Coturnix japonica: one gene and its partner. Each later gene encodes a partner of the first gene's protein in a complex. Links are inferred from orthologs where the notes say so. Each region holds a gene or a part of one and is shown in the gene's direction. Other genes may lie near its edges. The genes, in order: FLCN and LAMTOR2.

Region 1 (4,366 bases):
GGGGAATGTATGCACAGTGCATTTGTGAAGCCTGAGAAGAACCAGAAATGTTCTCTCTGCAGTAGCTGAGCTTTTTGTATTGCTGGTTCCTATTAGTAAGCACGAACGTTCTGCTGAGGGCTGAATGCCCTTATGTCTGTGGAATTACAAGCAAATTAATAGACGTACCTGGCAAATAGAAGCTGTGTTTGCTTTGTTTCTTTTCCTGACATAGATAAAATAAACCTATACTGCACATCAGGAGGGCTGGCAGACAGATCTGTGTAGTATTTTCAAACAATATATCGCACTATTGTTCTTGATCTGCTTTTTAAGGAGGCACTTTGTTACTTGCTGGTGGAAAATCTGAAGTCAGGTCCCAAAGTCTGAAGTATTCACCAAAAGTGCTTTGGGAAAAGGCTTTTGAGCAATGGTTTGACTAAATGCTTCAGGTCTGGCATCTGCATGTCCTGAGATACTGATGAAACCAAGTCAGAGCTTTTAAATGAAGAAGCTCCTTCAAGTCTTGGAACTAACTGCATGGGGCTGCGGTGAGCTGAGACGCATTGAGAACACTTGAGCTTTCTGCTTTTAATTTGTATTTATTGCAAGGAAGGACTGTAGATCCAAACGTAACAACACTGTGTGCTCTGCTGCTCTGAGCATGCTTTGATATCTGCTATCATGCTTTGATATCTGCTATCATGCTTTGATATCTGCTATCATGCTTTGATATCATAGTTCAATGCGCCATCATTTGCAAAGAGAAAGTGCAGCTCTGGAGGGAGCCCTTGTCTTGCAACTACAGCTCTTAGCCACAGGAGGGGTCTCTACTTCACTCTTAGCTGGTAATATAACGATGCAGAGGTTTTTTTGGTTGTTTTTAAAGAAAAAAAGGCTGGAATCCGTGTAGCAGCCCCCCTTGTATGTCTGTGCCACATGGGAGCCGTGCGTACTGCCCCTTGTGAACATCCATAGTGCTGCCATCGCACCAAGTGCTTCTGCATAACCCAGGTTGCCTTGTAGGCAACACTTGTACTTGGAGGCACTTCTGGGCAGTACAACTGCGCCCCACCGTGTGTGTTGTGTTGTGTAACGTAGGAGATGTTTCTGCATGGCCACAGCAGCCGACGAGGTTCGTCCTGAGCAGTTGTTTCAATGTACTATTGGAAAATAAAGGTCACAAACCAGCCCGCTCTTAGTTTGTCTTTAAATGCTTGGCCTGAAGGAACGAGATGGTAGAGCTTTGGTGTTTGCCTTCATCTCTAGGTGTTGTTCTTTATTGGGGGGTGCTTTTGTTCTTATTGTGCTGCTGTCCTTGCCCAGCACTGGCTCTGAGGTTACATGGAAATTGAATCAGGCCTTTGCTGCAAGTGGTGGTGCTGTATTAATTAGCGGTGCTGTATTAATTAGCAGCGCTGCTGGCTGCCTTTAATCGCCCCGTCTCGTCTCACCCCCCCGCGCTCCCAGCAGTGGTTGCTCCCAGTCCCGTGACTGGGCGGCTGCGGGTCGCGGTCATTGCCGCTGCCGCGGGGGGGGAGGAGTGCGCCGGGAGCTGTGTGTGGAGGCGGGCAGCCCCCTGCTGTCCGGCCACCAGCTGCATCCCCGTCCCGATCCCTCTGCAGCCTCATCCCGCTCCTCGCCGCTCCTTGGGCGGCTGATCAGCGGGGAGCTGCCTGCCCGCATCCCCAGCACCCCCCCCCCGCGGCCCGGTAGGATGGTACGGCCCGGCGGTCAGCGTGTGTCAGCTGCCCGCAGCCACGGGACGGGCCGGGGCGGGAGCCCGGAGCGGTGAGAGGACGGGAACGGGGCTGGGGGAGCGGGGGGTGGGCCGGGCAGTGGGGGAGCGGGCACTGAGCGGGACCGGGACCGGGACCGACCGTGTGGCTGCGTGGGGACCGGGGGTGGACACACAGCGCCGGGCCGGGCCTGTAGGATGCAGCGTTAGAACGGGGGGAAACGGCTTCGGGCTGAAAGGGGACGGTTAGATTAGATACGAGGGGAAATGCTTCGTACTGAGGGCGGTGAGGAGCCGCCGTGTGCCCGCCATGGAGCTGTCCCAGGCCGTAGTTGGGCCCTGGGCAGGCAGCACACGGCACGGGTGGGGCTGGTGGCCTCTGAGGGCCCTTCTCTGTGCTGTGCCATCGGTTTGGCTGAGAAACGCTTGCATGGAGATCCTTAAGGATGGCTGACACAGCACTGGGCCGGCACAGCCCCATCCTGACACGGTCTGAGGTGCCCAGGTGCTGAGTGATTGTGCTGCTCTGGGCCTGTCCTGTGAAGGTATGAGCACAGCCCAGGGTGGAACTGTGCTGGACACCCCAACTGAGCAGCTCTTGGAAAGACACAGATCAGCATTCACACCTGACAGGCCCATGGGGTGTTGTAACAGCAATTCTAACAGCAGTTCTTGTGCCAGTTTGTATATTGATGCTATGTGTTTTTTCACTCACCTGCAGGAGACCCTGACGGATGTGCTGAGCTCTCGCTATGAATGCTATTGTTGCTCTCTGCCATTTTTGTGAGCTCCACGGTCCCCGCACCCTCTTTTGCACTGAGGTTCTACATTCACCGCTTCCTCAAGGTGCCAGCAGCGGGGATATCACTGGGCAGAATGAGCAGGCGGAAGAGGAGGAAGGCGGCATCCAGATGAGCAGCAGGATCCGCTCGCACAGCCCAGCTGAAGGTGCCAGCGCTGATTCCAGCAGCCCAGGGCCAAAGAAGTCAGACATGTGTGAGGTAAGTGTGAATAGCTGTACACAGAACATCAGTGTTTCTTTGCTTGACTAAAGGGCTCTTGGGTTATCTGATGAACACATGAACTACCCCTGTGCTTTCATATAACTGACAGTACTAAAAAAGTCCTTATAAACTGCAGTGACCCACAACAGAAGTTGAAGGAAATGTTATTAAGCAAACTGACAAAGCAAGTTTCTCTGTTAAGGTCTTTTTAAGCCCTGCGTGTGATTTTCATGTGTCTGAGAGACGCTTCCCTTGGCCTCCAAAGGTTTCTGCTTCATTAGACCAGGTTCTACCATTGATTAATAGCAATATTTAGCAGCAACATCAAATAGGGAACAGGAAAAAAAAAACCAAAACCAACCTTAAAGCTCCTAAAACTAGAGAAAAAACTGTGTTTTTAGTTTTTCCTTTGTGTGGCTACTATTAGCACTTGATCTGAGCTACTTGTTATTTACTTGCCTTTAGGTTATGGCCAGTGCTTTTGTTGGCCAGTTGCTTTCACAGGTGCTATGAACTGACTTGTACTGCTTGCAGAGCCATCACCATCAAATGCACAATCAAATTCAGCAGTGGAAAACTGGCATAGAAAGGATCTGAGTTTAAGTGCTCACCCTGACTCAAACTGCTTGCATTCTGAATACTTGAGTTTATATGTGTAAATAATGCTACCCTACGTTTAGAAGGGAAAACGCAAAGGCAGCTGGAAACCTTTGAAATCTGCATGTTCGTTTATGCTTGGATTTGCTTTTCTGTCTTCAGGGTTGCCGCTCTCTTGCAGGAGGACATCCTGGGTTTGTCAGCCACGACAAGGAGACTTCGATCAAGTATGTCAGTCACCAGCACCCAAACCACCCCCAGCTGTTCAGCATTGTGCGCCAGGCCTGCGTTCGCAGTCTGAGTTGTGAGGTAACTCTTTAGGAGTACAGGAAGAAATCCTGCTTAGGGCCTTACCTTGGGGATGCTTTTCCTCTTGACTTCTGAGATGTGAAAGTTCTCTTATTTTCACTCCTGTGCATTTATTGTTTGTGTTTTTAATATAAACTGATAAATTATTTGTGTAAAAATGTTGGCATCTATTGCTTTGTATTGAGAAATAATTGGTCTTTATAAACTGCTGACGTTCAGTGTCTCATATAAATGGAGAGCTTTACAGACTAGTGTTTGTGTGCCAGCATCAGGAATTCCTTGTGATTTCTCCACAGTGTTGTAGCTGAACTGAGCAAAATCTGTAAAATAAAGATAAATTGAAGGCTTTATTATGTTTGTTTGACCACAGGTTTTAGATAGCAGCCTTAAAAAAAATTGTTTTATTCATCAGATGTCTGTTAAATAGCAGCAAGCTTTTGTTATACAGTTCATTGCTCTTCCAGCTGAGCTTCTTTGGTCTGTATGTCCCCCCCATTCAGGTCTGCCCAGGACGTGAAGGGCCTATATTTTTTGGAGATGAACAGCATGGTTTTGTGTTCAGCCACACCTTCTTTATCAAAGACAGCCTGGCCCGAGGCTTCCAGCGCTGGTACAGCATCATCACTATCATGATGGACCGGATTTACCTCATCAACTCATGGCCTTTCTTGCTGGGAAAAATCAGAGGCATCATCGATGAACTTCAGGGCAAAGCACTTAAGGTGGGTCAGTGAGTGAG
Region 2 (3,576 bases), on another chromosome or scaffold:
TTCTATTCCTGTGACTATCCACAGCACCCACTGCCAACATCTCTGCTGTGTGATGGGGAGGGACCAGCACCTGCCAATAAGATTGTCACCGCCAGCTCAGCTGGGGCGTCCCCGAGTCAATAGGTGAGAATAGAAACCTTTGCATTTGGAAGCCACAGAGTTCAGGAAATCCACATGGAAAGGCTGGGAGCAGAAGATCACAGCTTTCCTGGGGCAGCTCGCTGCCATGGTCCAGAACTCCCGAAAAACTGGGCCTGGGAGGACGGACCCCTGGCACTGAAGTGACCCAGGGCGTGAAGCTTCACCCGCTGCTCTGCACGCTGACAGCACAGGGCTGGGAAGCAGCAGGGCCACGCACAGCACACAGCTCCTGCCCAGCTCCCAGCACACGCTGCAACCTCGTGCCCTGAAGCCCACATCAAAGTACACAGCAAAACACACACACAGCCAAGATCCACAGCACTGACACCACTCTGCCCCGGCGGGCACTGCCACCTGCACAACGCTTCTTGTGAACCCTCTGCTGCCCTGCAAACACACAGTGCCCCTGTGGAGCTCCCTGCTCACAGCAAACCCACATGTCTGACGTCCCCTTCCCTCTGCTTCACTCTCCCTCTGCCCCAAAGGCAGAAATGAAAGGTCTGAGAAGGACGGACAGAGCAGCCTCTGGCCTCAGCCCCACCGCACACATCCACTGCCCCACAGCTCCCCGCAGCCCAGCCCCAGGGCCGCGTCCCATCACAGCACCCACCCGCTGCCTCTCAGCTCCCCAAGCTGCAGCTCCCGCTGCTCTTCCAGCAGCTCCTGCCAGCCCCGGAGCCGCGCCCCCATGTGCCCTGACCTGAGGCATCTCCGGGCCCTAAGGGAGAAGATCCCTGATCCCTCCAGGCCCAGCCGCCCCACGCAGCGCCTCCCCGCTGTCCCACAACACCCCCACTACCAGCAGCACAACCCCCGGGCCGTGCCCCTCACACCCCCCCCAGCCCGCAGACCCCTCCCGGCCCCCCCTTCCCGTTCCCACCGGCACATCCCGCCCCCCCCTCCCGCACCGCCCCGACAACGCCCCGTTCTCGCCCCCCGGCGGGTTCCAGCCCCTCGGCTCCCGCACAACACACGCCGTCACTCCGCTGCAGCCCAACCCCGGCCCCACGCCCCCCATGGCCGGGGAGGCCCCAGCTCCGCTCAGCCCAGCTCCGCTCCCGCCCCTCACAACCTTCCCCCCCCCGGCTCCTCACACCCCCGAGGTTCCTCCCTCCAATTCTCGCCCAACCCCTCCCGCCACCTTCCCGCTCCGCACCCTCCTCGGTCTCGCGGCCCGTGTCTCCCGCGGCCCCTCGCAGCGCTCAGGCCTAGGCCCCGTCCTCCGTCCCGTCCCCACCTCGCGCACGGAGGCGCCGTCGGCGATGACGATCTCCTCCTTGTCCTTGGGGGTCTTCACCGTGACGCGGATGAGCGCCCCGCCGGGACCTCCCAGCTCCGACCCGCCGGGGCCCGGCCCGCCGCCGCCACTCGGCTCCGCCATCTTCGCCGCCCGCCCCGCCAGCCCTGGCCGACAGAGAAAGGCCGGGACAGAGCGCCGCCACGGCCCGCGCCGCAGCACAGCGCCCCCTGGCGGCGGGGAGGATCGAGAGGCGACGGAACCGGAACCGGAACGGAGCGCGGAACCGCCCCGAACGGAACCGAACGGCAGCAAACACCGAACGGGGGCGGCCTACACCGGGAACGGGCCCCGCGCCCCGCGCTGCCTGCCATGCTGCGGCCCAAAGCGCTGACGCAGGTGCTGAGCCAGGCCAACACCGGCGGCGTCCAGAGCACGTTGTGAGCGGGGACGGGGCCGGGGGCGGTGCGACCGTACGGTCATTGCGGTGTGATGTGACCGTACCGTCACGGCGGGGCTCGGCCCGGAGCTGACCGTTCCCCGCTCCGTTGCAGGCTGCTGAACAATGAGGGCTCGCTCTTGGCCTACTCGGGATACGGAGACACGGACGCCCGCGTGACCGCGGCCATCGCCAGCAACATCTGGGTGGCCTACGACAAGAACGGGCACCACGCGTTCAACGAGGACAACCTGCGCTTCATCCTCATGGACTGCATGGTACGGAACGGCTGCGGGACCCCACGGGATCCATGCGGGACCCCCGGTGTGCGGGACCCACAGCAGCACCCACAGTGGGATCCGAGGTGTTCAGCAGCAGCTTCTGTGTGGGAGCCCAAGGGGTCCGTGTGAACCCCATAAATCTCAATGTGACCCCATAAATCTCAGTGTGACCCCATAAATCCCAATGTGACCCCATAAATCTCAGTGTGACCCCATAAATCTCAGTGTGACCCCATAAATCTCAGTGTGACCCCATAAATCCCAATGTGACCCCATAAATCTCAATGTGACCCCATAAATCCCACTGTGACCCCATAAATCCCACTGTGACCCCATAAATCCCGCTGTGACCCCCTGAATCTCCGTGTGACCCCGGTTCTCTCCGGCAGGAGGGGCGCGTGGCCATCACCCGCGTGGCGAACCTCCTGCTGTGCATGTACGCCAAGGAGACGGTGGGATTTGGGATGCTGAAAGCCAAGGTGAGGGGATGGGGGTGAGGGGATGGGGGTGAGGGGGTGGGGGGCTGCATTACGGTGAGGTGTGAAAGAGCCACGGGGTTAAAGCCGGGAGGAAGAGGATGGGAGAGATGGGGGAGGAATTGCAATCAAAATGGGAACTGTCTGCGTGGGTCCCAGATTGGTGCTGGGGTGGGACGGGGGTTTGCCCACAGAATGTGGGCGCTGGGGGCTGCACCCCTCACCACCATCCCTGCCCCAGGCACAGGCGCTGGTGCAATACCTGGAGGAGCCGCTGACGCAGGTGGCCGCATCCTGAGCTGCATCTGAGCTGCATCCTGAGCATGGAACCGCGCTGCCACGGCTGAGAGCAGCGCCTGCACGGGGGGAACCGTGTTGTGAGCCCGGCTGTGCTGCTGGGCAGCAGGGGAGGGGAAATAAAGCCACGTGTGGTGCTCGTGTCCTGAGTGTCTGTCAGATCAGTGCAGGGTGGAAGGGTGGGACGGGGTCAGCCGTGCACCCAGCCAGGGGTCTGTGGTGCAGCTGGGAGCGTTGTGCTGTCCCTGCTGGGGCTGCTTCCCCCACGTTCCCATCTCTCTGTGCTGGCAGCAGAGGTGCAGGCGGCCGTTGGTGCCCGGCCAGCTCCATGCTGAGCCCAGGGCCCCAGTGCCCCAGGCTGCCCCGCGCCGCGTGGCCTTGGCAGCCAGGACCGGGCCCGGCTCCTCCTCCAGGTGCCCCGTGACGGTTCCAGGGGTGACATTACCTGCCCAACCTGCGCTGCCGCTCCCAGCCTGCACTCAGCCGCCCTGGGCCTCCCTGCGCCGCCCGCGTCGCCTTCACTCCCCGACCGCGCTCCCTCCTGGGACCCCCCTCACTGCTGGGACCCCCCTCACACCCCGACACAGAGGAGACTTTGCCCCCCTCACCACCCCCTGCAGCCCGCCCCGCTCTGAGCTCTGCGGAGGGAAGGAGGAAACCGGGCGGCAGCCGGGAGATATGAGCAGCACTGAGGACGACTACAAC

Evidence for each region.
Region 2: FLCN (region 1) and LAMTOR2 share a complex: the UniProt entries of both Homo sapiens proteins name them as parts of the lysosomal folliculin complex. The link is inferred for Coturnix japonica from reciprocal best matches to the Homo sapiens genes FLCN and LAMTOR2.

Annotation. Positions count from the first base shown.
Region 1 is NC_029529.1:4,765,580-4,769,945, reverse strand, and holds the start of FLCN (folliculin), read left to right. Parts: upstream 1-1,504; 5' UTR 1,505-1,770; intron 1,771-2,438; 5' UTR 2,439-2,469; coding exon 2,470-2,718; intron 2,719-3,480; coding exon 3,481-3,627; intron 3,628-4,127; coding exon 4,128-4,349; intron 4,350-4,366. UniProt on the Homo sapiens protein: Multi-functional protein, involved in both the cellular response to amino acid availability and in the regulation of glycolysis.
Region 2 is NC_029540.1:79,215-82,790, forward strand, and holds LAMTOR2 (ragulator complex protein LAMTOR2), read left to right. Parts: upstream 1-1,626; 5' UTR 1,627-1,750; coding exon 1,751-1,818; intron 1,819-1,932; coding exon 1,933-2,095; intron 2,096-2,487; coding exon 2,488-2,577; intron 2,578-2,815; coding exon 2,816-2,872; 3' UTR 2,873-3,014; downstream 3,015-3,576. Other genes in the region: UBQLN4 (ubiquilin-4), read right to left, coding at 1,379-1,522; RAB25 (ras-related protein Rab-25), read left to right, coding at 3,550-3,576. UniProt on the Homo sapiens protein: As part of the Ragulator complex it is involved in amino acid sensing and activation of mTORC1, a signaling complex promoting cell growth in response to growth factors, energy levels, and amino acids.